Linked DNA regions of Ovis aries. The protein of the gene in region 1 interacts with the protein of each later gene in a biochemical or structural test. Links are inferred from orthologs where the notes say so. Each region holds a gene or a part of one and is shown in the gene's direction. Other genes may lie near its edges.

Region 1 (3,500 bases):
GCACTCTGGCTCAGCGTCTGCAGCTTGGGTCCAGATACCCAGTTGGGATCTGACACTCCTTTGCTCTGCCTGGGGAAATCCCAGAAGTCCCTGCAGTGACCAGGCCACTGGTGGTCCCCAGGCCCCAACTATGACTCGAGCTGACCCTCCTTCCCCACTTTCTGGGTGGCATTGCGGGGGTGGGTATGCCTTGCCAGGAGGTTGGCATGTGAGTGGCATTGTTTGCTCGGGAAAGGGGCAGGGGGTATCCAGAGGATTCATGATTCATCATTGCCTCTCTTGGGGGATTTTTACCCATTGGCCCTGAGTCGTGCCTTTGGGACAAAAGAAGGCTTTCTTTGCCAGCCAACACCCTGGATTGAATGGGCAAGCTCCCTAAGGCTGGCCCAGTGGGACCCCCTCTGGATGCTCAGGATGGGGCAAGTTGGCGGGGGGAACCTCCTCTCTGATTTCCCTCCTTTTCCCAAACTTGCACACTTTCTTTTGCTGTTGCACGTGGCCGGTTGGAGAAGCTCACTGCGCAGGCCTTTTGACCCATCTTCTCTGTTCTGCCAGTGTGCACCGGCACAGACATGAAGCTGCGGCTGCCAGCCAGTCCCGAGACCCACCTGGACATGCTACGCCACCTCTACCAAGGCTGTCAGGTGGTGCAGGGTAACCTGGAGCTCACCTATCTGCCTGCTGATGCCAGCCTCTCCTTCCTACAGGTGAGGCCCATGGGCAAGACCCAGCCAGGCCCTGCTTCCTGCTGGGCTGAGCCCTCTGCCTGCAGATGGGTGGTAGAAGAAGGTTCCCCGCCTTACATTTTCTCTTTCGTTGTGGCTCCTGAACCGGGAAGTCATTTCTGATGTCTCACCCCATCTGTCCTACACTAAGACCAGCTGACTCTCTGTCTACAGCGTGGCTGACTGTGGACATCTCTGGGTGGAATGCATCTATTCCTGGGCTATATTTTTTGCTCTCTCACCAGCACAATCACCTTCCCTTGTCCAACTGTCCCAGCCACTGTCCCCCTCCTATCTGGAGTAATGAAAGCCCTGGCAGGTTCTGAGTCCAGTTCTGCCATTGACAAGCCCTGTGAATGTGGTCTAGCCCCTGGCTTCACTGGATCTCAGTTTCCCTGTCTGTATATTGGGAGCCATGAGTGCTTCTCTGGTGGCTCAGATGGTAAAGAATCCACCCGCAGTACAGGAAACCCGGATGCAATCTCTGGGTCAGAAAGATCCCTTCGAGAAGGAATTGGCTACCCACTCCAGTATTCCTGCCTGGAGAATCCCATGGACAGAGGAGCCTGGTGGGCTACAGTCCATGGGGTTGCAAAGAACTGGACACGACTGAGTGACTAATACTACATTGGGAGCCATAGGCATACTTGGACTCCTCCTGGGGAGCCCATTTAGAATATCATGTGGGAAATATATGTGAAAGGGTCAGGAACAGGCGAGCGAGTGGAAGCCAGCCTCTGTGTTGTGTCCCAGCGTGGGGCCAGGTGTGCGACACTTAGTCCATTGAATCCCAGACATCATCACGTCCAGGCATTTCCTTTACAGATGGAACAGCTGAGGTGTAGAGAGGGTGGGGTGCCCACAGTTTACAGAGTGCTGCCCCCACCCCCTCATTTTCTTTCTTGATCATACTAGAATTTGGTCCTAGAACCTGGTTTGGGGAGGTGGTGGGCAGACTGCTTGGCAGCTGGGCCCTTGCCCAAGATCCCCAAGCACAGGGGACCTTGAGGAGGTCTTGGGGGTTGGATGGTAGTGGTCCAGGGCCTGACCTTCCTCAGCCCTCTCCTCCTCTGTCCCTTTTCCAGGAAATCCAGGAGGTGCAGGGCTATGTGCTCATCGCTCACAATCGAGTGAGTCAGGTCCCACTGCAGAGACTGCGAATCGTGCGAGGCACTCAGCTCTTTGAGGAACACTACGCCCTGGCCGTGCTGGACAATGGAGACTTTCTGGAAGGTGCTGCCCCTGCTGCGGGCACGGCCTCAGGAGGGCTGCAGGAGCTGCAGCTGCGAAGCCTCACAGGTGACCATCTTTATCCTTGAAACTTTCTGCTGGTTACTGAGAGCTGGCCAGGGGTCCCTACTAGCCAAGGGGTGACTGTGAGTCAGAACTGGGGTCCTGTCAGAACTGGCGTCCTGGGGACGGATGCAGGTGGAACTAGGAAAGGCGCCCTTGTGAAGATTCAAAAAGATTTCCCCTCTTCCCAGGAAGTCACAGCTTGCACCAGCCCGCATAGTTTGATGATTAGGATGCAGGCTGGATTTTTGCCCACGTCTTGGCTGAGTGCACATGTACAGTGAACAACCTGTGTAACTGTACGTGGCAGCCCTGAAACAGACAGTGTTTCAGACTCTGAGTGCCCGGTGCTTTGCATGCATAATCCCATCACTCCTGCCATAATCCTGCAAGGGAAACATCAATGTTCTCATTTTACAAATGAGGAAACAGGTTTATGGAGGATAAGTCACACAGCTAGGTAGTGGTGGTGAGGCTGGGTTTCACACTCTTTTAATTGCTAAGCCGTGAGCACACAGTAGAGGTGGAGGAGAGGAGGCGGCGGCATGGGCAAGTCACTCCCCCCTGGATCTTTGTTTGTGGGTGGTATTGACAAGGCTCAAAGATGCTGAAGGGGTGTTCTCTGCTCCCTGAGGAACCTGGGGTGTGTTTCAGAGGCCTGCTCCACTTTTAGAAGGCAGGCAGGCCCCAGGGGAGATAAGATGCCAGATGGGGAAAGAAGCCCCTGATTATTGCCCACCCCACAGAGATCCTCAAGGGAGGGGTCTTGATCCAGCGGAACCCCCAGCTCTGCCACCAGGACACGATTTTGTGGGAGGATATCTTCCACAAGAACAACCAGCTGCCCCTCAAGCAGATAGACACCAACCGCTCACGGGCCTGTAAGCCTCGCTGCCCCCTGCCTGCAGCCGCCACCCTTTTTCACGCAGCCCAGCGACCCCAGACTCCTGGCTTACTCCTTGTGCCCCTCTGCTGCCGCACTAACAGCACCCGTCTCCCCTTTCTCTGCATCTCTTCATCTCTGTGGGTCTCTGTCCTGTTTTTCTCTGCTTCTAGATCATGCCTCTGGCTTTGAGGTTCTCTTTTCCTGCCTGGGTCTGCCCTTCACTGTGCATTTCACGTCCTGGTCTCGGTCTCTCTCACTGCCTCTCTGTTTCTTCCTCCAGGCGCACCCTGTTCTCCAGCTTGTAAAGCTCCCAACTGCTGGGGAGAAAGTTCTGAGGACTGTCAGAGCTGTGAGTTACAGGGCGGCCCAGGGCCTGGAGGGCGGGGGCTGAGTGACACGGGAGGGGCTGTGCCAGCCCTCGGCCTCTTCCCTGGGGCAGGAAGTCTCCCCAGAAGGTGGTGCTGGTGAGGGGCTGGTGCCTAGACTGCCGCCCAGCCCTCATCCCGCCTTGACAGTGACGCGGACCGTCTGTGCCAGTGGCTGTGCCCGCTGTAAGGGCCCACAGCCCACCGACTGCTGCCACGAGCAGTGCGCTG
Region 2 (4,115 bases), on another chromosome or scaffold:
GTGGAATGCCAACATTTGTAAAATTCTTTGTGTTGCTTTATTTTCTAATCTAGAATTATGGACTTAAGAGCTTATCAAATGCAAACTCTGTATGGAGTCCTTTCTTTATCATGTTTGGTAAATCCTATGTGCTCCCACCACAACCTACATGTACATAGCTCTATTATACCAATTATCATCTTCTTTCTGAAGCCTGTCAGTATTTCCACATATTTTTTAGGTCTGTTGAAAGCAGGGACCATGGCTTATCCGTGTACTTTAGCAGAACACCTGAAACCTATAAACACTCCATAATTGTTTCCCAAGTAGATGCCCTTCAAACATTTGACGGTAATCTATTAGGGCCATATTAAGTCTTTCCTCAGTGGTTCTGGTCAGTTTTACTCGATTCCAGTTCCTCGAAGCCCCCCTTCCTAAAACAAATCAGACAACCACGCCCCTTTCCCATGGATTAATAAGCAACACTCAGGCTCTCTTAGAACTCTCCTCACTTTGAAGACTCGAAGAAAATTCAAGCTTCGCCTTTGCCACCTTCTCCCAGAAGGCTCTACGGTGTGGCTGTAATACAAGCAGTCTCAGGAAGGCAAGTTCAGTTTACTCAACTGAGGTGAGAGAATGGTCCAGAAACCCGCAAAGCTGAGGGTGGTCAGTATTCTAACATTCGAACACTCTAACCACGACCACCCATGCCTCCTTCCAAATTCGCTATCACTCTAGGGGTTTTTTTTGATTGCCCCCCTACCTTTCGCGCATGCGCCTCACACTCTCAGCACACCCATTCCCGTTAACCTCCCGCGCATGCGCCAACTCTGCAGTTTTCAGTCCCCGTTACCAACTTCTCGTGCCCTCAGTTGTCAGAACTCACGACCTTGATATTGCCCCCGCGCCGGCACTAACCGGTACTCGAACTCCTCGTCGTCGTATTTGTCCGAATAGTAAATTTGTTTGTGCGACATGATCACTCTGCCTGAGGACCTTCAGCCCCGCGCCGCCAACCTCCGAACAACTCCCAGCAGCACGCGCTCCCACCCTCTTTGGCCTCGCTTTCAAACACGCCGCCTGCGCTTTCTATTGGTCCCTCTGCCGGAAGGCGGGACAACCCCACCTTCAAGCCTCCGATTGGCTTAGGTTTGCTTCTACTCAAGTCCTCATTGGAATGAACATTGCTCAAGAATTGCCGTAAGTAAAAAATAGACGTTTTATTGGCTATCACTGCTACTGTGCTCGTCCGCGCACTGCCATTGGTTGATTCGGGAAAGAGGGACGGGTGAAGGAGGGACAATGAGGTACAGGGTCAGGGGTTAGTGAGGCCGGAAGTGAGTGCAATAAAGTTTCTCCAGGGAGGCCGGGCCCGGGGAGAAAGTTGGAGCGGCAACCTGAGGAGACAGTGGCGTGATCCGGAACCAAATCGGCCCGCGGTGCGGTGCGGAGACTCCATGAAGTCCTGGTGAGTTGGGACATTTTTCTTCTTAGGTGACCCACTCCTCTACCCCGGAACCCCTCTCCCGGGACCCTACTTCCGGTCTTCATTTACAAGTCCCGCCCTCTGCGACCCCCTCCCCGGAAGTCCCACCTCCCAACTTCAGGGGGCTCTCCGAACCCCGACTTATATTCCATTTACTGTCCCCAATCCTACCCTGTCGTCCAGCTTTCCTGGAAGTCCCACCCCCAGACATGCTTCCAAACCCCTGCATTAGTCCTTCCGATTCCCCGAAACCCCGCCTTCTCGAGACTATTCTCCGTTAACCCCTGTCTATCAAAAGCCTAACTCCCAAAAGGGCAGAACCCTGCTACTCAAAGAACTATTCGAATTCGTGAGGCCACGCCTCCCTAAGGGTTCCGCCCCTTTAGAAGCCTCGCCCCTTCCTTAATCCACGTCGGATCGTCCAGAAGCCTCGCCTCCTGGGAGTCTCTGGTGCACGCGTCTTGAGGGGCCACGCCCCTTCAGGAGCGTTATCCCGGTTGGACCCTTGTCATCGCCTCAGGAGCTTTGTCTTCAATCCCAGAAACTTCACCTGCTTGCGCTTCCTCGTTCCTTTTCTCTTTGGGGCCCTTGGCTCAGTTTTCCTGAGCTCTTAGGCTCCACTGGATAGGGTCAAAAGTTCACATCTCTGACTCTGTGGAGTAAGAGATTAGAGGCAGCCCTTTCCCTCTCCCTTAGCCCCTTCCAAGGGTGGACCTACTTGAAGGGGGCTGGACTTGGGGTTTGGCACGAGAGTGGGAGGGAGACTTGCTCACAGATTCCCTGCCCCACTCCCTGAGTTTCCCTTCCCAGGACCGACTCCACCCCAGAAACAGCTGTTTGTCTCATACCTGTACGACGGGAGCTGGGTAGGGCCGTGGATTTGTCGATGTGTGACATGTGGGTGTGACAGAAGAGAAAGTTTTCTACCACCTGAAGACGGTGGCTTGGAATGGGTGTAGGTAACAGTGTCCTTTTTGATGTTTGATTTTTTTTTTTTAAGGGACTCTTCAGGCCCCACCACTTCTCTGGCTCTTCCCCTCCCCCAGACAGAGTTCTAGTCTGGGCATTTCTCCTGGTCCTGCTTGCCCAGCCTTCCCTGCTGGAAACATTCCTGAGGCTTTCGCCATTTCCTGCTACTTTCCGCCTCTCTTGCCTCCTCCTCCCTGCTGAGCTGAGAAGCCACATGCAGCTTCTTCCCCACACCCAGTCGTTCAGATTCCCAGTAGCAATCCCCTTTCTTCCTTCAGATTGCCAATAGCAATCTCCTTTCTTCCTCCGTAAATTTAAAGAGCCCTACTTCCTCTTTCTTTTCTAAACATGCCCACACCTGTAGGTCATCCCTTGTCTCTGGATTCTGCAGGCACCCACAGAATGCTCACCTCTAAAGATAGGATATCCTGGTGTGTGCTTGTGTGTGTGTGGGGGGTGGGGGGCGGTGAGGCTTTGGCAGAATACTTTCCTCTTTCTCTGTTTCTGAGTGCTGAGGCCTTAGGAAACAGTGATAGGTTTTCTTCTCAGGAGTGGTGCATGGGGTGGTAAAGCTCTCCTGGGTTCAGGACTACGGGGGCGGTGGTAAGCACAGTATCTAACATGTTTTCATTGTCAGGATTGTTAATCACTGTAATCACAATAATTTGCATTTTTTTAATATTCTGAAGTAAATTTAAAGATAGGTAATTCCGAGGTGAGCCTGCTGAGGGTATATGTATCTTTTACTACTACTTCTATTTGGTTGCTTTCCAACTTCCCCTGTGGCCTCCTGGAGCAGAGCTGTGGCAGGATGCTGTGGGTGGGAGGAATGAGTTTGGGACTGTTCCCTGTGTCCAGCCTCAGTCCTCTTCTGGCACCCCTTTCTCATGAGCACAGATTTGACTTCTGCGCCTCTGTCCCTTCCTGGCCACTTCTCTTGGACAGCCGTTGCACTGCCCCATCTCCTGTGGTCAGACTCTTTCCTTGATATGAGGGGTATCATGCTCCTTGGTGGATACCTGCCCTCTCTCTGGTCACTACTAAAAAGGAGGGGTATGTGTTCACCTGGAGGTCTAGGGATCTGACCTTAGTGTCAATGCCCTGGCCACCCCTCACCCCTTCTGCCCTTGACAGCTTACTTTCCTGTGGAAGAGGGGGGCAGAAGAGTATTTGGCTTGGGCCTCTGCTCCTTGGCATGGTAGGCGCCATGCATGGAGAACAAGCCTCCACCAAACTGTCCTCTGCTCCAGCTCCTGCCCGGTGGCTCCCTGATGTGCCACCCAGCTTGGACTTTATTCCTCTTACTTTAACAGCTTTGCCTTTCCTCTTGGCCCCTCCCTGCATCCACTGGGACCATGTCCTTCTTTTTCCCATTTCTTTAGCTCCCTCCACAGCTGTGATAGCCAAGGAGGCTAATGGCTCAGGCTCCCTAGGGCCACCACCCCTCTGTGGGGCAGTGGTGGGGGGGCGCTGGGGCTGGAGGCTGAGGGAATTTGAGTGTTCAACCAGGACAGGAAGGGAATTGCTGAGCTCAGGGATCCCCTCCCTTTCCCACCCCCAGCTGCCTCTGTTTCCTCCCTCAACCTCCTCCTCGCCCGCCGCCCCCCCCCCCCCCCCCCCCCCCCCCCCGGCCCCACCGGTCCCTCAGCTTCCTGCTCTCTTTGGCCTGCCCTTGTCCGGT
Region 3 (4,165 bases), on another chromosome or scaffold:
GTTAACATATGTAAGGCAGTAACTGCAAAAACTGTGCAATGTTATGGTTGAGGCGTTTTATGCCATATGTGTTGATAGAATGCCTAAGCAGCTCTCTCCGCAATAAACGCAAACGCTGCCAGGCTGAATCACTAGGGCCAGCGAAATTCAACGACTGCACGACCGAAACCTCCAGGGTTGGAAGCCTACGTCGCGTATCGGAGTGTATCCAATATTTCCTCTAACAAAGGCATTATCTTGAGGCAATTTCGCGGGCCATTTTCCCCCGTCCCAGGGCCAGCTTTGTCTCCCCACCGGTGTGAGGCTGAGACTCGGAGGAGCTGCGTTGCTGAGCGAGCAAGCTCGGAGCAAGGGCCGGCGTGGGAAGCTTCTCCGAGCTGCCGCTGTGGTTTCCTGCAAACCGAGCGTGCCATTAGAGGAAGTTGGAGTGCTGCAGTTGAAAGAGATACCTGCAGCCTTGAAATCGGGGTTGGACTTGAACCGATCACTGTCGTACAAAGAAACTCAATCGGCCGGGGTGGAGGAGGCCTGGAGACTCTCGGTCTCCCAAGCTGGGCACCGGGCAAGCCGGGCTCCACTTCGTCGGAGTCCCCCACCTTGGGCAGCCGGGTAGCGGCAGCAGGCCTCTGAGGCCTGGGCTGCAGCGGGCCTCACCAGCGAACCCCCGGCGGCCACCAGCCCCGCCCCCCGGTCCCCGGCCCGCCGCCCCCCGCCGCCTCCCGCCGCAGACGTCGGCCCGCACCGCCCCCGCGCGCGGTGACTGGCTCGCGCCGGCCTCCAGCCCGGCTGTTGGCGGTTGGGGCGAAGCCCGCGGGAGGCCGCCCCGCCCCCGCCGCGGAGCCGCCGCCGCCGCGCGCTGCTCTTCCCCCCTCGCCGCCGGGGCGGTGGCGCTGTTGCCGCCGCGGCCTGTGAGGCAGTGACTCCCCAGCGCCCCAGCCCCCTTCCTCCTCCTTTCTCTCCGCTCCCTCCCTCCCCTCCCCGCCCCTCGCAGTCTCTCGCTCGAGTGAATGTGGCGCGGCGGCGCGGGACGCAGCCTCGGCCCCTGCCGCGGCCCCGCGAGCTCCTGAGGAGACGAAGCCGCCGCCTGCCCTCAGCCTTTGCGCTTCCCGGGGGAGCCACCGCCGCCTGGGAAGAAGAACGAGGAGGGGCGCGAGGGGGCGGCGGCGGGAAAACGGGAGGAGGAGGAGAAGAGGGCTCGAGGGCGAGGAGGGAAGGCGGGGAGGGACGGACGGAAGGACGGACAGCCCGACGGACGGCCCGGGGAGGGGGCCGCCATCGAGCCAGCCCGGCCCCTCGGCTCCGGCTCGGGGCGGCCGCGGCGGCGGCGGCGGCGCAGGCGAAGGGCGCGGCAGGCTCTATCGAGACAATAACCCCGCCGCCCGGCTCCGGGGGCGGCGGCGAGGAGGAGGTGGCGGCCTAGCGCGACCGCGGCTCTCCCAGCGCCGCGGCGACGTCTTCGCCCCCGCCGGCCGCCTTCGGCAGCCGTCGGGTATCGGGGCGCGCGGGTCGCCCGGAGTCCCAGGCTCGGGGCGGACGCCCCCTCCCCTCCCCCTCCCCGGCGCGCCGGGAGCTGGTTTTCCGGGTTCCCCTGGACCGAGCTGGATCCTGCTGTTCGCCAAGGCAGGAAGTGAGTTTCGCACGGTAATTCCGGGCGGTGTCACGAGTGAAAAGTTTTTTTTTCGGCGGAGATCCTAGTTGGGGCTGGGAAACTCCTGCAAAACTCGAGACCGGGAAACCAGCCCGCGCGTCCCAGCCCCCACCAAAGCCACCTACTCTTCCTTCTGCGGGAGGCCACTCCACATCCGCTCTCACCGGAGAGTGAAATTGGGCTGGATCCGAAGTGACTAATGAAGGGAAGGAAATCATGTCAGGCGAAGCCTTGAAAAAGCTGCCTTGAGACACTGCCCGACCGAAAGGTAAATTTCACGAGAAGTGTCTACGAGCCACAAAGCTCCCGGGCCAGAAAAGAGAGGAAACTTTAGTGTTTTTCGGTTTTTTTCTCAAGTTCCCCTAAATTCTCCTTTTCTGATGTCGAACGGGATAGTGTTTTAGGTGCTGAATAGTAAGATGTTACTCCCTCTTTGGTTATTTTAGAAGAGGTTGTAAGAATGAGGTGGGACGAAAAGTTTTAAGCAATCCGAAGGAAGAGTGCCTTTGTTTGGCACAAGGTCCAGAAGTCTTAGATTCCTGGAACATATACCCTGTGTATGTTTCTGATTCATTAAGTTGCTGAACCTGGCAACTTTTGTTTTGAAGAAAGTTAGGTCACTGCGGGGAGCGATTTGCTGCTGCTGAGATGGCTGCCACATTTGTTTATACGGTTACCGATTACTTGGCCTTTGCGTTTAATTGTATCTATATAGATTTGTTTTTAGTAGCAGTCTTTATGGATATATTTCATTGGGTTTTATAAAACAGAAACCTTTGCCATTCTCAGTCGTTTTTCTAGGTGGGTAATAAATAGATTTCTTCAATAACTTGTTCCTTTCAGACATTTAGAACTTGATAATACTTGTTTGGTTAATTAGTTGAAAACAACTGTCGGCTAGATTTTTCTTGTTACTGAGAGTAGAAAGAAAAAGGAGGGAGGAAGTATTGTCGATAAAGAGTGTTACGATTAAAAACACACGTAAACACCTGTGAAGTAGTTTGGTTTGTTGGGACTTAGGTGCAGTTCAGAACAGGACACAGAGAAAGGAAAGTAAAACGCTTACAACAATTTTCATGGGCATCACAGTGATTGTGATAAACATCTGTGCTTTTGGAATAGTACAGTATTTACATTTTTGTGTTGGCCCGAATGTTTTGGCCGCCTCAGAGGTGATGAGTATCTACGGTGGTGGCAGGGGTTATTGAAGCATGGGAGACATTCCACCAGTCAGTCATAAATACAAACACTTCTGAACCAATCGGTAGTCTTTATAGATCAAACCAGTTTTGGTCGGAGCAAACACGAAACGGTTTCTTCAGTGGTGTTTTAATGTGTCTTTTTAAGGTTGGTTTTTTTCCGTTTGTACTTTTGTGGTAAAGGGAGGTGAAAGATTATACTATGCTTTTGAATAAATATTAAATAAGTATGGTATTTAGTTGGTAGGTATATCTTAAATATAAATGTATGTTTAATTGCCCATGCTACCTCAAGAAAGAATAGTTGGCTTTCTTTAGTTCAAAGGAGAGAAAAGTTAGGTCATGAAGGACTAGATCAAATTATTTCACAAATACATTTCAAAATGGCAATCTTTCATCTCTTTTGAATTTTTTCCCTAAAGCTTAATCTCTAGAACGCCTTTAAAATTTTTTTAAATTGTTGCTAAGATTTGTGAACCATCAGGTAATTCCTGTTAAGTCAAAGTAACTTTATCAGGAAATTTAAAGTAGTTAACTGATCTGCTTTATGATTTTGGAACATATCATTAGGCAACGAAAGAGGTTATTCTTGGGCAGCTGAAAGAGGGGAACAAAATAAATGGCATTGAACTTCAGTCTCCTTATATGGTTTATACTTGGCTTCAGAGCAACAAAGCCTTAATAGAGCAAGTCTTTTATAGAGAGCTATCACTTTGCAAATATGTTTCTCTGCATTAGTAAATTTTACTTATAAAAAGTATTATAGCCCTGGAAAATACTTACATCCCTGTTTTTAGATACAGTTCTTGATTTTTCTTTTTCCCTTGGGGGAGCAATAGTATGTTTAAATGCAGACTTAGTTTGGTGTTGAATTAACTTAAATGAATTTTAGGTTTTAATTTATTATCAAACTATATTTTTCAAAATCTTGTTTAAAATGTGACAGTGGTTTAAAAAGATTAAAAAAAATAATTAAAATATTTTAAAATGGCTTTAAAATTTGGATGTTCTTAATATTCTAAGAGTTTTCTTGGATTAAATTGGCAAATCTAGAGTAATTCCAAGGTGTCTGAACAAAATGCACACTGAATGGCACTGCTTATTGAAGGTACTTAAGAGTTTTCCATGGTGATAAACTTAATCTTTCAACTAATGGATTCAAATATTATATTAGGAAGTCTGCCTGATGTTTGAGAACAAACTATTACAAATTTTTTCGTGTCTTAAAAGCTTACAGAGGTTCAGATACAGAAAGCAAATTTTTTATTGCATGTTTTTTCTTAATAAAGTGGTAACTATAATTAGTGATATTTCATAT
Region 4 (4,235 bases), on another chromosome or scaffold:
GGCCAGTGTGAAAGGCTGTCAGATGGAAAGATGGACAGCACAGTGGTGTGGAGGCAAGAGCAGGTGGTTGGGGCTGCGATCAGGTTCCTCCCAGCCACAGGCCACATCCTTGAGGGGTCGTCACCTACTGTAGCATGCTGGTTAGAACTTTCTTAAAGAGGAGACACTTCCACTGTGGCCCTCCACTCTCCACATCACGTGCCTCAGGAGTTAAATCTCAAGCCTTCCCCAGGAGAATGGGAGACCGTGTGAATCCAGGTATGGCAAGGCCCCAAAACAGGCTGCATTGTCTGTGAAATGACAGTTTTGCGTTCAAAGCATCTGTCTCCAGGATTGCTAAGCCCCTTAAAGAGGAGATAATGAGTGGGTATGATTATTTAGATGCTAATGAGCTGAGGTTTTTATTTAAATTTATTTAAATGTTAATAACTGATTTAAGCACACCAATCAAAGACAATTCTATCAGAGATTCTTCATCCTAGTGGAGTGAGTCTCAAGGTTAGGGAATGCATCAAGGATCACCTGGAGGGCTTGTGCAGACAGGTTGCTGGCCCTCCACCATGGAGTTTCTGTTTGGGTAGACCTAAGATGGGCCCTAAGAATCCTCCCTGTCTTCCCTGGTGGCTCAGATGGTAAAACATCTATCTGCAATGCTGGAGACCCAGGTTTGATCCCTGGGTTGGGAAGATACTCTGGAGAAGGAAATTGCAACCCACTCCAGTACTCTTGCCTGGAAAATCCCATGGACAGAGGAGCCTGGTAGGTTACGGTCCGTGAGGGTTGCAAAGAGTTGGACACAACTGAGCTACTTTACTTTGAAGATGGGCCCTGAGAATCCTCCTATGAAACAAAATCCCAGATGATACTGGGGCTGCTGGCCTAGGGACCACACTTGAACCACTGTCCAGGTCCTGCTATGCACAGTGTGGCTCCCAGATGGTCAACATGGTTTTATCCACTAGGAGTTGTTAGCAATGCAGAATCTTGAGCCCCACCCAGACTCACAGAACCAGAATCTACTGTTTAACAAGATCCCCAGGGGCTTCCTAGACAGTAAATTTTGGGACACCACCCTTCTTGGCAATGCTTCCCATACTTGCCAGCCAGGGGAATCTCTTGGTGTGGTCAAGATTCAGTCTGGGGGCTGCTCCTCTGCTGACTTGGATTCAGAAGATGTGGGAGGGTCTCAGGGATCTGAGACTAGCAGGCCCTCAGGTGATGGTGGTGGTCAGGGAAGCCTGGCTACCCATTTACCTTGGGTCTGTGTTCCTCAGAGCAGACCCAAACCCCAGAGCCAGAAGAGAAACCTCTCCCTCCAGGATCGTGACGCGGCAGCTGCTTCTCCCCCACAAACAGGAACTTGGGGAAGGTGGCTCCTTGATGGTCTGTGATGCCGTCAGAGGAAACGGGTGGTTGTGAGAACCACAGAGCCTGCAGATGTGAGCCGGGAGCCCCGAGGACCCTGCAGCAGAGCTCAGAGACGCGGGTCCTGCTTCCCCACCTGGCTCTACTTGACAGGACCACCTTGTCAGAGGTCTCTGAGGAGCACGGGGCTCCTGTCCCATCCGCAGGGTACAGACCGCTTACACAGGCAGATGCCGAGCTCCTCAAAGCTCCCTGAAGACTCTCACAGGCCAAGAGGTTTCTAGGTGGCCTAGAACCAAGGACATTGGCAGACTTCCAGAAGACTTTCCATCCCACCCAGAGCTCCAACCTCTTCAGCTAAAGCATGTGACTTAGCTGGGCCCCCACCCCAAGACTCTGATGACAGGAAACCAGTAAGTATGCTTGTTTTTATTTTCTGATGGCCTTGGGACTGTGAGGAAGGATGGTCCCCTCAAGACTGGGAGTGGGCTATACAGTTGGGAAATAAGCTCAAGGGGACGGGGAGTTGGTTCTGCTGAGGCTGTGAGAAACGGCTTCTGAGGGTCCTCCTCTCCCCCTTTGCTGTTCCCTCCAGCTGCTTTTCATGCCCATTCTGGTCCCATCTCAGTTCCCAACTTACTGTGTGACTAGGGGACCCTCTCTGAGTGATAGCTGTATGGTGTCAGTGGATACGAGGAGTAAAGTTCTGGAGTCTACAGTTTCTTTCAAAAGTCTTCAGCTGATCTTTCTCAGCTAAAAGGGAGGGCAGGGGTTCTCCCTTTAGCTCAATCCAAATCTGTGACTTACCTCCAGCACTGAGAAATTACCTTCAGAAGCACAAACACACAGAAACTGTAGACCCAGGTCTGCACTAACCAGCTACCAACAGAGTGTGAGGTCACTTTCTCTGGGCCCTGGTCATTGTTTGGAATGGTATTCAAACCCTGGGATCTCTCAAAAGGTCAAGTGCAATGATCAAAACAGTATGGGCGGTGTGCTGACCTCAGCTGTCTTTAACTCTTTCCTTCCGCCCGTGCCTGGGCCCCTGCAAAGTGCCTAACATGAGTAAGTTGTTCAGATACACAGTTATTAGATTCTTCTCTAAGTTTGGGCCAATACCACCGCCTCCTTCTAGGTCTGCCCACCCACGGTCTTCATTTTTCCCCCAGAAGTCTTCCTGACCTTGACCTGACCAGGTGAAGGGAGCTGGCAGAGTGCTGCAGGCTGGCAGCCTGAGTGCAGGGTTCTCCTGCCTCCTGGGGCCCAGCCCCCACCTCTGCCTGCAGCGGGAAGAAGCCTCTGGGTTTAGTGTGGTTGGTAACTGTGGTGACATTGTCTTGCTCAAGGAGAAGAAAGCAACCTTCGCTTAGCGCACTCTCCCTGCCAGGCTGCTCAGCTTCTCACAACCCATGGTGTCAGTATTATTCCCAGATTCACACATGAGACTCAGAGAAGTTGCGTGCTTTGCCTGAGGTCACACAGCTTGAGTTCCGTTGGTCTGAATTACGCCCTAGCGCTAGCCAGGCATGATCTGTCCCAGGGGTTTTCTGGACCCATGTCTGTACCTCATACCCAAGGAAAGGAAAGGCTGGGACCAGCAGGACTGTTGAAAACCTGACCATGAAAAGCTGCCTTGACGTTGAGGGAAGCAGAGACCCCAGGAGGCAGCGGCACCAGCTCGGGCTGCCAAGGCTTCAGGGTTTCCAAGTCTGAGCCGGAAGTGGCTACCAGGAGCCATCCCCTAAGGGTGGGCCTGAGCTCCCCAAGGAGGGAGAGCTAACAGATCCTGTTTTCCCCGTGTCGATGGCATGAGATGGCAGATGGTTTCACAGATAAATGTACTAACCTCTAAGGCAGCACCTTTACTCCTCAGACAGGTTGGCTGGTGAGGCCCTGGGAGCCCCTCCATGATCATGGTGAGCAGCTAGATGTTCAAAGGCAGGATGGAGCCTGCCATGTCCCCACACTGGTGTAATCGTGTTCTGTCTGTAAGGAAAAGACTGAAACTGTCTCAAAGAATGAAACCACCTTCCTGCAACATCTTAATAATATATTGTTTGAAAAAGTCAGCATTACCATGGAAACGAGAATTTTAATTATTCTAAGGATAATGGGCAAGATCCCCTGGAGAAGGAAATGGCTACCCACCCCAGTGTTTTTGCCTGGAGAATCCCGTGGACAAGGGAGCCTGGCGGGCTACAGCCCATGGGGTTGCAAGAGTTGGGCACAGCTTAGAGATGAAACAATAACAAACAAGGATGAGAAACCTATCCAAAGAGCTTATAATCACTCCATCCATTTAGGTAATGTGCATCAGGTGCCATCTGTGGGTGAAAATGCCGAGGAAATGGGCAAACAGAGAGGTCCTTATTCACAGCATGCTATGAAATCATGACTGGTTAAACAAACGCCCCAGTACATAAATAATTAAAAATTGGGAAGAGCACAACAGGGAGCCAAGAGGGACACAAAGGAAGGTCCCCAGAAACAGCCTCTGGTGAAGTGACATTAAGGGTGTGAGAAAGGAAAAGCAGGTGCTGGCCAGCCTCTTCACACGAGTTATCTCTCAGGCCCGTATGGCGGGTGTCGTTATCCCCTTTTTCAAATGAGGAAATGGAGGCAGAGGGAAATGGTTCGACTACCAGTCCTGTGAAGACTTGCAAGTCATCACTGTGTCATGCAGGCTCCCAGGCATCCTGCTTTGCCCTGTGATACTAGTCACTGTGTTCTCAGTGTCGCCGTAGCTTGCGAGACACGCCAGCTCCCAAGCCCCCTCAGATCCCCCTTGCCCACCTAGCCATGGGTCCCGGTGTGCCTGGGATGAATGAACTCTGTCCTGTCATTGGCCCTTGCCCCCCAGGTGACAGAAT
Region 5 (3,918 bases), on another chromosome or scaffold:
GCGGGCAGGCCGGGCACTGCGGCCACTGCCTCCTCAGACATGAAGGCTGCCGCCTCAGGAGCTCCGGCAGCCAGTACCGCTGTGGGCAGTGAATGGACAGCACTCAGCCCCGCCTGGGCCTGGGGCTGCTGTCCCCAGCGACTCTCCTGTATCATGTATCTGGCCGTCGGACCATTTCATGGATAAGGACACTAACAGGCCAGGTTCCGCCAGCGACCCTGCCCGGGGGTGGTCCAGCTTTCCCGACTAACCCGAGGCGGTAGCCGGGCCCACGCCACGGAGGGCGCACAGAGCCATGACCGCTGCGTGCATGTCTGGCAGGAGGCGGAAGGCGGCGGCCGAACGCTGCACCACCAGCTCCGGAGAGTTGGCGGCCACGAGTTGCTGCAGGCGCGGTCGGAAGCGGCCCCTCTGTGGCCAGGTCGGGTCGGGTGTCACGGGTGGCGGCCCTCGCTGGGAGGCCCCTCAAGACTGCCACGAGGGTGAGCCCCCTGGGAAGCCCCACCCACGTGGCTGTGCCGCGCCCCAAGTGGGAAGCCTTACCGCCAGTTTCCACGCCAGCAGCCGCTGCAGCTCGTCTAGTGTCACGTGCTTCTCCGCGCGGGCCCCGATGGCCGCGGGCAGCTCCTCTCGGTACCTGGGGGAAGGCGGCGCTACGGAGTCCGGGCCACGGGGCTCGGCCCGCCCGCCCCTGCCCCCTCCGCCCTACCACCGGTCCAGCGCTTCCAGCCGCCCCTGGGGGCCCGCGCGCGCCCGCAGCACCGCCCCGCGGCACTCCAAGACGGCGGCCCAGCGGCTTGGGTCCTCACAGCTCCAGAGCCCGCCAGCCGCGGCCATCTCCCCGCGCCAGGCGAGGCCTCGGGGGCGGGGCGTCGGAGCGCGGCCGGGCGGGCGTCTGCCCGGGTGACCCAGCGCGTCGCAAACCTTGACGCCGCGTCGCGTTGCCAGAGTCCCCCTCCCTGCCGGCCCCGCCCCCACAGCGCGCCGGGGGCACGCACGGCCCCGCCCACCCGTGCGGCGGTCCGCTCCGCTGGCCCCGCCTACCTGCAGACCGGAAGTTCCGGTGGCGGAGCGCTGGACCGAGCCCGAGCGGATCGCGGGCTCGGGCTGCGGGCGCAGGGCGGGCTGGGCGCGGAGCCTGGGAGCGGAGCCCAGGCGGTGCCGTGCGGCGCCATGAAGGGCAAGGAGGAGAAGGAGGGCGGCGCACGGCTGGGCGCCGGCGGCGGCAGCCCCGAGAAGAGCCCGAGCGCACAGGAGCTCAAGGAGCAGGGCAACCGGCTCTTCGTGGGCCGCAAGTACCCGGAGGCAGCGGCCTGCTACGGCCGCGCCATCGTGAGTGCGCCCGCGCTGCGGGAGGGGCTTGGCGTCCGAGCCAGGGGAGGGGCCGAGCTGCGGCTTCTGCCGCGCGCCCTCTTCAGAACATGTCAGGCCGTGCCCGCCAGACTTTCGGAGGGAGGGGGTGGGTGCTTGGGGTCTGGGGCCAAGGCCGCGCCTTTCCCGAGCCAGTGCGGGCTGCCAGAGAACTGTGCTGGGTGGGAACCGTAGGTGTTCGAGGCCCACTGGGCTGGGGACCAGGCATCCCTGCCCCTTGAGGAGTCAAACGCGATGCTGGGGATTTCCATGAGTCCGGGAAAACTACCTTCACAAGACTCATTGGAGTCCAGAGAGTGGGCTCACGTAGGCTTCACCCTCCCTCAGAACCCAGGGGCTTGGAAGCTGAGAAAATGCTAGTGTCTTGGTTCCAACCGCGGGCCTCAAGTTGGGACGGAGTGGGCAGGCTGAGCTCACTCCCTCATGCTGGCTGGCCCGGCCTTGGTCCCCAGACCCGGAACCCCTTGGTGGCCGTGTATTACACCAACCGGGCACTGTGCTACCTGAAGATGCAGCAGCACGAGCAAGCCCTGGCCGACTGTCGGCGCGCCCTGGAGCTGGACGGGCAGTCTGTGAAGGCACACTTCTTCCTGGGGCAATGCCAGCTGGAGATGGAAAGCTATGATGAGGCTATTGCCAACCTGCAGCGAGGTGGGCTTACAGGCTAGCTGGTTCCAGGGTGCCTGGGACCAGGTGGGTGGACTGGTTGAAGTTTACCCAAATGCTCTATCCCCCAGCCTACAACCTGGCCAAGGAGCAGCGGCTCAACTTTGGGGATGACATCCCCAGTGCTCTGCGCATCGCAAAGAAGAAGCGCTGGAACAGCATCGAGGAGCGACGCATCCACCAGGAAAATGAGTTGCACTCTTACCTCACACGGCTCATTGTGGCTGAGCGTGAGAGGTGGGCTCCCCCTCTTCGAGTCACCACTCTTAGGTTAACTCTGAGGTGTGAACACAAGTGTTTATTGAAGGCCAATTCTGGCACGCAGGAGATGGAGGGAAAGGGGCCTGAATGATCCTAAGTCTGGAGTGGAGTCTGACTGCCCCTGGCCAGACCCATCTCTGAACACCTTTTGGTCAACCCCCAGGGAACTGGAAGAGTGTCAGCGGAACCACGAGGGTGACGAGGACGACAGCCACGTACGGGCCCAGCAGGCCTGCATTGAGGCCAAGCATGTGAGGGTGCCCCAGCCCGAGTGTGGGTCCTGTGTGTGCGTGCGCTGTGATGTGAGGTGCCCTGGCTCCTGCTGGGTCTGTGTCTCGGTGTCTGGGGAGGGGAGAGGGGTGTCAGGCCCACAAGTGGCTGCTTGGTTCTTTGCAGGACAAGTACTTGGCAGACATGGACGAGCTCTTCTCCCAGGTAGACGAGAAGAGAAAGGTGAGCTGCCCGTCTTCTGGGGCCGGTGGGTAGCTAGAGCAGTGTCCCTTCCCAGCCCCTGACCTGATCCAACCCTGTGTGCTGCAGAAGCGAGACATCCCTGACTACCTGTGCGGCAAGATCAGCTTTGAGCTGATGCGGGAGCCCTGCATCACGCCCAGTGGCATCACATACGACCGTAAGGACATCGAGGAGCACCTGCAGGTGAGGGTCTGTGGGCGCTGGCAGCAGGGCCCACGCGCACTGAGCAGCCCCTGACTCTGCCCTGTTGTCACTGCAGCGCGTGGGCCACTTTGACCCTGTGACTCGGAGCCCCCTGACCCAGGAACAGCTCATCCCCAACCTGGCCATGAAAGAGGTCATCGATGCCTTCATCTCTGAGAATGGCTGGGTAGAGGATTACTGAGCAGGGTGGGTGTATGGGCCACCCACCTGCCTTGCCCGGTACCCTAGTTCAGGAGGGCCTTGGGGCAGCAGCCCCTAGTTTTCTGTATATAGTTTGTGTCCCTGGATCCCTACCCTGGTGTCCCCACCCCCACCCCCATCAGTTCTGCTGGGCAACACGCCTCTCATCCTCCTTCTGGGCCGGAAAGGGGGGGTGAGGCTGGGCTGGGCTGAGGCTGCTGCCACCACCTCTGTCCCTGTAATAAAACCTGTGAGTACTGCAGGGATGTGTGCTGGTGTGCGGTGGGCTTGCCAGCCACCCCCTTTGGCTAGCCGAGGAAGGTAGAGATGAAGACGCTGGTGTCGAGGTTGAGTGTGGCATGCCACCATCGGTCCGGGAAATACAGCACCTGGCGAGGGGTTGGGGGGACATGTGGGTTGATGGGTTGGATGGGGGTCCTTGGCCTGGCTCAGCCTGGCCCGTCTGCCAGCCACTGACCTCACCAGCCTGGATAGTGCATTCCAGGGGCCGTGCAGATGGTGTCAGGGCTGGATATGTGTCCTGGAGCCAGGCCAGTGTGGTTTTGTTGGGGTGGAATTCGGGTGTCTTCTCAGGAGGGTACAGGAACCAGCGCTGGGGGTTGGCGGGGAGCAGCAAAGTTATGCTTTGTATTTTGGTCAGTGAACCCAGAGTCTCAGCCTGCACCCTGTGCTGACCTTGCGGCCATAGATCACCTCCGAGAACCCAGGTCCATGCCAGTGGAAGGGCACCCCAGAGCCAGC
Region 6 (4,102 bases), on another chromosome or scaffold:
CTGCGGCCCTGGGAGGGGAGCTGCCGCTCCTCCACGCTCCTGCGTCCCCGCAGCGGGCCTCACCTGGCCCACCTTGAGTGGCACTCGTCACACCCTGTTCCATAAAGCTTTTCAAGGCTGGGTGCCTCAAGTGTCACATGTCTAGCCGTGGGTGTGAGAAGACTAAGGGTAATCTGATAACGTGCTAGAGGTAAATTCATTTTTTGTATAGAAGTAGACGGGAAACTTGGACAGGGAGCGAAAGCGTTTCACTGTGAAGGGCAGCTTCTCTCAATAGACCGATGAAGACCTCTGAAGGCAGGCAGAGCCCATGGTGACAGGGGTCAGTGGGTTCGTGTCTCCGCAGACCTTCTGGGGTCGGGTGGAGGGGCTCAGTGCTCTGTTCCGCGGACAGCAAGGAGGCCTGGGCGTTTCACTTGCAGCCGGTGTCTGACTCCCTGAAAGCAAGGCATCTTTCCGCGGGCTTGATGTGTACTGACAGCAGCTGCATTTTTTCCCTTTCTTTCTGCAGGGTTGCAAGCAGCAACCAAAGGGATATTGAAATGTATTTGTAGCGTTTCTTAGGCATTTCTCCAGAGCTTGAGCACATTCAGTTGGAATAAAGCTTCAAGCACAGCCCCCCTTTTGGAATGGATTTCTGGAGTTTGTTGCCATTCATCAAAAGAAACACTCTTCTTTTTCAGAAGTAGGTTTTCAGCTTAACCCTGGCTGAGAAAGACTGCTGTAAATTATCAGGGAAGAGACCCTCAGTGGCTCTGGGCAGAAGTTCATACGCAGATATTTTTTTTTTCCTGGGAGGGGGAGGAACTGCATCGCCACAAAGACTGTTGTCATGGCTGCTCTGTTGACTTGAAAAAAACCTTGGAGATTGATATTTTATGTTCACCTGGGAATGAATCTTTTCTTTTTGGCTATTTAAGAATTCCTGCTGCTTTCCAAATCAAAATTCATGAGGATCCGCTGAAGATCTTATTCTTAAAAATCCTTCGTCACATTTTAACGCTGCACCGTCAGACACTTTTCCAGGCTCACAGATGGGCTGAACAGGGAAGAAAAAACCCTAGCATAGAATAATGGGTTTCAGAAAGTTCATTTGAAAGAACAGAATTTACCTCTGGCATAGATGCTGAGAGGGGGCAGGGAAAGGGGAGGTGAAAAAGCAAAGGTTGGAAGGAAATGTCTGGGAAGGTAGAGAAAGGAAATTTGAGAATTGATTGGCTCTAGTGTGCTGTCAGTGGGTGTATGTGGTTTTTTTTTTTTTTTTCTTCTTCTTCTTTTTTTTTTTGCTACAGGAAGTGATTTGCAGTGCTCACCGAGCCTTTGTTGAGAAGGGTCTCCTCTCGGAGTGAGTCATGCTTTTGCTGTGAGCAGCCCCAAGCAGCTGGGCGCGCAGCAGAGGAAACTATGACTTTTGCAAAGCGAACGTACCGCCCTCAGCAGCCGAGTCCGGGGCCGGGGCTGCGCGGCCGCGGCCGTGCGGGGTGTTAGCGGTGGGAGGCCGGCGCCGCTGCTCGCGCCCCCCAGCCTGCTGTCCCGGCCGCTCCGTCCCGCCCCGGGGACCGCGGCTCGCCTGCTATGCGCGGCAGCCTGCGCCGGGGCCGGCACCTGCAGCGCCCAGGCGGATGCGGCGAGCCCACGGAGGGGCATGCTTCCACGCACCAAGTACAACCGCTTCAGGAATGACTCGGTGACATCGGTCGATGACCTTCTGCACAACCTGTCGGTGAGCGGCGGTGGCAAGGTCTCGGCGGCGCGCGCGGCCCCGGCGGCGGCCCCCTACCTGGTGTCCGGAGAAGCGCTGCGCAGGGCGCCCGACGATGGGCCGGGCAGCCTGGGCCACCTGCTCCACAAGGTGTCCCACCTGAAACTCTCCAGCTCGGGCCTCCGCGGCCTGTCGGCGGCCAGGGAGCGGGCGGGCGCGCGGCTCTCGGGCAGCTGCAGCGCGCCCAGCCTGGCCGCCCCGGACGGCAGCGCGCCCCCCGGCCCCCGCGCCCCGGCCATGCGCGCCGCCAGGAAGGGCCGACCCGGCGACGAGCCGCCGCCCCGTGCCCCGCACGCCAGCGACCAGGTGCTGGGGGCAGGAGTCACCTACGTCGTCAAGGTGGGTGCGGGCGCGGGCCGCCGGGTGGGAAAGCCGGGGCGCAGAGGCGTCCGGCACAGTGGGTCGCTCTGGAGGCCACGGGGTGCGCACTTTTTCGCAGCCAGCTCGTTTGGCAGGGGGGACCCAGCTCAGCAAACGCACCCATTGCGCATCCGGTGGGAGAAGGTTTGAATTCGGCGACCTCACTGTCCTGGTTTCCCCTGGCTCCGCTCCTTTGGCATGCCTTTGCCACCGGGCTTTGCCATGTGTCCGGCCAGTACCCCTCTCGGCATGGACCACTCTCCCTGGGAACTGTGCATCAGGTCTGCCTAGGGTACACACTTGGAAGAACTGGGCAGCCCCTGCGATGAGAAAGGCAGGTGGTGTCACTACTTCTCCTGTGTTTGCCCCAGGCGGCAGGGTAAATGGTTTCATTTCTTTCCTCAGCAAGAATTTTCAGCTCCTTGCAGTGCAGCCCAAGTACTGTCCTTTATACCAGATAGGTAGCAATTTCTTAGCCAGCAAGGTTTTCTTTGGTTTCTGCCTTTCCTTCCATACCTGCTTTGGTTTACAGCAGCAGAAGGAAAATTGGGACTGTTTTTCCCTGGGGACTCTGGCCTTCCCTTTAAATAGGCTAAAGGAAGCTGAGCCACAGGCTGGAAAGTAGATTTTTTTTTTTTTTCCTCCAACACAGAGAATTATACAATCATGCCTGATGTAGTCCACAAAATTCTTCTCTTATGCAAGTATTCTATGATATTTAAAGAACAAATACTTAGCAGCATTCCACTGGCCTGCCACATGCTTATCACATCCTTCTGGTCGTTGGGCAGCAGAGAATCACCACAGCGCTCTTCCAGCTGGGCAGACAGCCTCCAGACAGTGGAAAGGGGCCAAAATGACATTATTTCAGACTGGTCACTCCAAGATATGACTTTTCATTTTAAGAGAAATGAGATGCACACTGTCCCCACAGTGTTGTCAGTCGCACTGAGAAACCTGCAGGCTCTTAGTGGCTATTAATACTTATTGGCTACAGATCCAGTTGCAAAATTCTACAGACCACATCCCCTGGCAAAATATATCTTGATAATTCTGAACCAAATATTAAAGGAAACAGTTGACTTTGTGGATTATCTTTAACTATCTCAAAAGTACTAACAAAGGAATTCGATCATCAGTATTAAAAATGGACCTGTTCTCCTTTTGAGTCTCCTTTTTAATTTAATCTTCATTCTTAGCTTCTGAGAGTGAATTAATCATATATTTTACAAAAGGGATGAAGATCAACATAAAGTATGCACAGCTGGTTGAGTTTATTGTAAAAGAAAAAGAATATTCCTCTTGTATGCCTTCTTTAAGTTATATAACCAGGAGCCGAAAACAAAAGGAAAAAAGAAGAAACAAAACCAAACAACAAAACCCCTGACAACGCTGAGGTTAAGAAGTGATGCCAGAGTATATTACTTGTGCCATGTGTAATATAGTATAATTGCTATCTGAAGAAAAAAAAAGAACCATGTTAGACAGATGTTGGCAAAGGTTTTTATACCTGTCATGTTGAACATAGAGGGTAGTTTCCAAATGGAGGGAGAACTTTCAAACTTATGTCTCTAAAGTTTCCTTCAAAAAAATAACTTGCTTTGCTTAGGGCTTTACTCTTGCTCTTTGAAGGATGAAGGCTGACATCCAGTTCTAAATGTCAGTTGTGGCTGAAGAAAGCTAGTCTATTGTGCTGGGCTATCAGGTAGTGACATCCGGTTCCCCCAACCCTGAAGCAAGAGCAACACTCAAATAAGTGAAAGGCTGGGTCTGCCTAGAGCCTTCTGGATTTGGGGTCATTTTGCTGTGCCAAAGGATTGTAGTGACCTGGGGGCACATAGCGTGCCCTGTTAGTGCTCCTTGCTGTCACCTGGTCCATCTTCAGTGGTGAATGGTGGCGTCACAGGAATATAAACTTAGGTTTCCCTGGAGAAGTTTGAAATCACACAGCAAAGGAGTCCAGACACTAAAGGACAATTT
Region 7 (3,500 bases), on another chromosome or scaffold:
ACTGAGGCCCAGAGAGCCGGGGGCTTCTTGGGGAGGCCCGAGGACCAGGTCTGAGGCTTTGCTTTTCGCTCTGGTTAGCCTGGAGATGGATCAGGACTGGAGGCGGTGAGTGGCCAAGGGGGCGGGGCAGGTTTTAGAAGGAGAGAGAGCGCTCGGGTCTTCAGAGGCTGGACCTACGAGATGCGCCCCTGCGCCCTCTGCTGGTATTGAGGGGGTATAGCCGCTTCGGGCGAGTGATGCTTAGTAAGAGAAGTAGATGCGGTTCTGGAGAGGTAAGGCCCTCACACAAACACGGGCATTTCTACCGGGACACCTTCAGACAGACACACACACACAGTCGGCAACTCATTCAGAGACACCCAAATAGGACACGTGCACATGTTAGGCTGAAGATGCCAGCGTAAACACAGACACACCATGGACACAGAGACACACTCAGGGACACAGGAATGGGCACCCTCCAGGCACAGACACACACCCACCGCAGATGCACACAAATGCAAAAGCACATACGCAGAAGCGCCTCCTACTCCCAGATGGAGACACAGACGCGTGCAGTCGGAGCCCTTCAGAAGCGCACACATGCTCAGCTAGCACCCATGGACACGCAGATGCACACACGTGCAGTGAGAACACACAGACACGCACCCAAGCGAGACAGACGGACCCGCAAACACAGCCATTCATTTGTTCAGGAGACAGTTGTGGCGCCCCTCCTGTGTGCCAGGTCTCTTCTGGTGTCAGGAACACAAGCAGTGTGTAAAACAGACAAAACCCTCCTGGGGAAGAGAGGCGAAGAGCGAGTTGCGTAAACTGTGCCCTGCGTTTGTGGGTGGTAACTGCTCTGAAAGAACACGGAGGACAGGGAGGGGCGCTGGGGGATGTGTGGGTGGAGGTTGCATCTTAAAATGGGCACAGAGAGGGCTTCAGGAGGGACAGTCACCCGCAGCCAGGATCGTCCCTGATGGCCCGAAGCACCCAGAGTCACACAGAGAGTCACAGAGCCGCCTCCCCAGGGGCAGTTTTCCTTCATTCACTGCTTCACTCACCCCATGGTTGTTTCTTGAACACCTGCGATGCGCCAGACTCTAGGAACAAAATAAAGATGCCTGTTACTGGGGGCTTCGGGTTCTTGGGGGGAAGACAGATACCAAACAGAAGCCAACACCCAGCATCACCTGGAGCCCGCTGGGCTCATCATGTGAACCCGCTCAGACACACGTGAGAGACCCACGTGCCTCCTCCGTGCCCTCACAGGTGTGCCAGACACATAGACACAGGGGACATGCACAGAAGCCCACCGTCTCTGTAAATGAAAGCAGGCCCCCGGGCTGGCAGTGGGGGACCCTCCCCCACCCCCAGAGTGCAGGGCTCTCCTCTGCCAGCCAGGGCCGGGCCTTCTGACACGCCCGTCTTCTGAGCAGGCGGAGTGACCACCTTCGTGGCCCTCTATGACTATGAGTCGCGGACAGAGACTGACCTGTCTTTCAAGAAAGGGGAGCGGCTTCAGATTGTCAACAACACGTGAGTGCCCCCTGGGGACCCCGATCTGGTCTTGGGCTGGAGCCACTTCTGACCATCCCAGAGCCAGCTTGATGGGCAGTGGGCGGGGCTGGACGTCAAGGCAGCCGAGGCCCAGGGAACCCATCCTGGGCATCCTGGGGTCTGTGGGGGTGATCAGGCGGGCACCCCGATGAGGTGGGTGTGGCTTTGGGAGGGCTCCAGGGACAGGGATCTGGGTTCGGTAACTGATCCACAGAGCACGGTGCTCCAGATCCCAGCACCCGCAGAGGGGCGTGTGGTCAGAGTAGGACTGGGCCCAGGACCCGGGGCTACAAACAGCAGGGCCTTTGTACTTGAAGGCTGTGCCCCAAGAGGTGCTGGAGCACCTGGGGCAGCCCAGAAAGTGAGTCTTCAGCTGTAGAGGGAGGGCCCTACATTGGCAGGGTTGGGGGACCCATATTAGGGACCCAACATGAGAGGGGTCAGGATAGGGCATGGGGAGGATGGGGCATAGGATGTGGAAGGCAGGGCACCCTAGGGTGGCATCCATGTCCCCCTCCAGGGACTCCAGCCTTGTCATGGGGCATCCTAGGGCCAAGCTGATGAACGGGGGAGCAGGGGACCCTGCCAGACTCTGGGGCCCCTGTGAGTGATGAACTGATGAGAGGGGTGGGGCTTCAGTCAGGGGGTGGGGGCCTTCCTCTCCTCCCTCCTCCTCTCCTTTCCCCGCCTGCCCAGAGTGCAGTGGGAAGTGGGGTGCAGCATCTGTCGTGGGGGGTGGGGAGTGCAGGCTTTGGGTGCCATGCCCTGGGGTGATCACAGTGGGGGCGGAGCTGCCGACAGAGGGCGGGGCACAGCTCCACACCAGCTGCCTTCCTGCCCTTGGACGGCCTGCTCTCCCGTCTCTGCCACCTCCCATCCCTCCCCCGCAGCCTCGGGGATGCCCTGCCCCACTCCTGGCCCGTGCTTGCTCCCTCCAGCTCTCTCTCAGCTTCTCCCTCTCTGCTTCTCTCTCGCTGGCCCTAGGAGGAAGGTGGATGTCAGGTGTGTACGTGCTCCCAGGGCGGCGGGCTGGGTGGGGGTGCTTCACTGGTGGGGGTGGGGCTGCATGCGCTTCCGCCTGCACCCCCTTGGCTGCACCCCCTCCGGCTTCCCCAGCTTCTGTCCTCACACCCTAGAGTTGGACCAGATCCTGACCTGCACCCCCAGGCTGAGAATGGGGAGGGTCCTCTCATCACCCCTGTCACTCCCCATCACACCTCCTCCCCATCCACCTCCTGCTCGCTCAGCTCCCCCCAAGTGCCAGCTGCATGCAGGGCCAGCGCTGGGCCTAGGGAGGCCTGGGTGGAGAAGGCCACGTCCTCCTGGGGCCAGAGTATAGTGGAACTGGCCCTAGTCCGGGCCCCGTGGCCTGTGCAGGGCATGGCTGGGATCAGCTTGGGCTTTAGGGGGCTGTGCTGTGTGCCCACCTCTGGTCGTGACCAGGGGCTGGGAGGCTCAAGCAGGACCTTGAAGGAAGCACAGTGAAGCCGAGCTGCTGGAGGGAGGTGATGGATGGCAGCCCCCCTCAGAAGGGCAGCTCCTGGGAGGGTGCAGTGCTGGAGGGGGTTACATGCCTTCAGGGCTATGGAAGGGTGAGAAGGTTCTAGAGGGTAGAGTGGGGTTGATCCCAGAGCATCCTGGAAGGCCTGGCTAAGGAGGTTGGACATCCCCACCGTCTCTAGGCATTTCTTGCTTGTTGGTGCCTGCCTGCTGTTATGCATGTTGTTCCCTCTGTGTGAAAGGCCCCTTCTCCCATCGGTCTGGCAAACTCCTACTCATCCCTCAAGATCCAGCTCAGAAGTGCCTTCCTTGTGAGGCAAAGGGGAAAAGAGGGGTAGGCATTTTTACCCACGTCCTTTACTCTGCTGCCATTCCACCAGGGCTGTAGTGATGGGGGAGGGACCATCGCCATATTGATTCCTCATATGGAATGAGGAAACTGAGGCACTGAATGA

Evidence for each region.
Region 2: the proteins of ERBB2 (region 1) and SHC1 form a complex in vitro, tested with the Homo sapiens proteins (2 studies listed by BioGRID and IntAct, with this or other methods). The link is inferred for Ovis aries from reciprocal best matches to the Homo sapiens genes ERBB2 and SHC1.
Region 3: the proteins of ERBB2 (region 1) and ERBIN form a complex in vitro, tested with the Homo sapiens proteins (4 studies listed by BioGRID and IntAct, with this or other methods). The link is inferred for Ovis aries from reciprocal best matches to the Homo sapiens genes ERBB2 and ERBIN.
Region 4: the proteins of ERBB2 (region 1) and SLA2 form a complex in vitro, tested with the Homo sapiens proteins (2 studies listed by BioGRID and IntAct, with this or other methods). The link is inferred for Ovis aries from reciprocal best matches to the Homo sapiens genes ERBB2 and SLA2.
Region 5: the proteins of ERBB2 (region 1) and STUB1 form a complex in vitro, tested with the Homo sapiens proteins (4 studies listed by BioGRID, with this or other methods). The link is inferred for Ovis aries from reciprocal best matches to the Homo sapiens genes ERBB2 and STUB1.
Region 6: the proteins of ERBB2 (region 1) and SHC3 form a complex in vitro, tested with the Homo sapiens proteins (2 studies listed by BioGRID and IntAct, with this or other methods). The link is inferred for Ovis aries from reciprocal best matches to the Homo sapiens genes ERBB2 and SHC3.
Region 7: the proteins of ERBB2 (region 1) and SRC form a complex in vitro, tested with the Homo sapiens proteins (3 studies listed by BioGRID, with this or other methods). The link is inferred for Ovis aries from reciprocal best matches to the Homo sapiens genes ERBB2 and SRC.

What each region holds. Positions count from the first base shown.
Region 1 is NC_056064.1:39,822,576-39,826,075, forward strand, and holds part of ERBB2 (receptor tyrosine-protein kinase erbB-2), read left to right. Parts: intron 1-555; coding exon 556-707; intron 708-1,810; coding exon 1,811-2,024; intron 2,025-2,764; coding exon 2,765-2,899; intron 2,900-3,184; coding exon 3,185-3,253; intron 3,254-3,419; coding exon 3,420-3,500. UniProt on the Homo sapiens protein: Protein tyrosine kinase that is part of several cell surface receptor complexes, but that apparently needs a coreceptor for ligand binding. Essential component of a neuregulin-receptor complex, although neuregulins do not interact with it alone.
Region 2 is NC_056054.1:105,194,964-105,199,078, reverse strand, and holds the start of SHC1 (SHC-transforming protein 1), read left to right. Parts: upstream 1-1,315; 5' UTR 1,316-1,447; exon of another isoform or gene 1,448-2,414; coding exon of another isoform or gene 2,415-2,420; exon of another isoform or gene 2,421-2,424; intron 2,425-2,465; 5' UTR 2,466-4,115. Other genes in the region: CKS1B (cyclin-dependent kinases regulatory subunit 1), read right to left, coding at 898-956. UniProt on the Homo sapiens protein: Signaling adapter that couples activated growth factor receptors to signaling pathways. Participates in a signaling cascade initiated by activated KIT and KITLG/SCF.
Region 3 is NC_056069.1:13,773,250-13,777,414, reverse strand, and holds the start of ERBIN (erbin), read left to right. Parts: upstream 1-1,365; 5' UTR 1,366-1,916; intron 1,917-4,165. UniProt on the Homo sapiens protein: Acts as an adapter for the receptor ERBB2, in epithelia. By binding the unphosphorylated 'Tyr-1248' of receptor ERBB2, it may contribute to stabilize this unphosphorylated state.
Region 4 is NC_056066.1:65,720,766-65,725,000, reverse strand, and holds the start of SLA2 (src-like-adapter 2), read left to right. Parts: upstream 1-1,435; 5' UTR 1,436-1,778; intron 1,779-4,235. UniProt on the Homo sapiens protein: Adapter protein, which negatively regulates T-cell receptor (TCR) signaling. Inhibits T-cell antigen-receptor induced activation of nuclear factor of activated T-cells.
Region 5 is NC_056077.1:1,118,100-1,122,017, forward strand, and holds STUB1 (E3 ubiquitin-protein ligase CHIP), read left to right. Parts: upstream 1-1,173; coding exon 1,174-1,332; exon of another isoform or gene 1,333-1,338; intron 1,339-1,823; coding exon 1,824-2,022; intron 2,023-2,108; coding exon 2,109-2,274; intron 2,275-2,315; exon of another isoform or gene 2,316-2,461; coding exon 2,462-2,549; exon of another isoform or gene 2,550-2,694; coding exon 2,695-2,751; exon of another isoform or gene 2,752-2,838; coding exon 2,839-2,955; exon of another isoform or gene 2,956-3,031; coding exon 3,032-3,157; 3' UTR 3,158-3,418; downstream 3,419-3,918. Other genes in the region: uncharacterized protein LOC101103616, read right to left, coding at 1-79, 252-411, 544-637, 1,045-1,175; JMJD8 (jmjC domain-containing protein 8), read right to left, coding at 3,465-3,545, 3,635-3,769, 3,853-3,918. UniProt on the Homo sapiens protein: E3 ubiquitin-protein ligase which targets misfolded chaperone substrates towards proteasomal degradation.
Region 6 is NC_056055.1:23,964,138-23,968,239, reverse strand, and holds the start of SHC3 (SHC-transforming protein 3), read left to right. Parts: upstream 1-1,302; 5' UTR 1,303-1,645; coding exon 1,646-2,101; intron 2,102-4,102. UniProt on the Homo sapiens protein: Signaling adapter that couples activated growth factor receptors to signaling pathway in neurons. Involved in the signal transduction pathways of neurotrophin-activated Trk receptors in cortical neurons.
Region 7 is NC_056066.1:66,307,694-66,311,193, forward strand, and holds part of SRC (proto-oncogene tyrosine-protein kinase Src), read left to right. Parts: intron 1-1,424; coding exon 1,425-1,524; intron 1,525-3,500. UniProt on the Homo sapiens protein: Non-receptor protein tyrosine kinase which is activated following engagement of many different classes of cellular receptors including immune response receptors, integrins and other adhesion receptors, receptor protein tyrosine kinases, G protein-coupled receptors as well as cytokine receptors.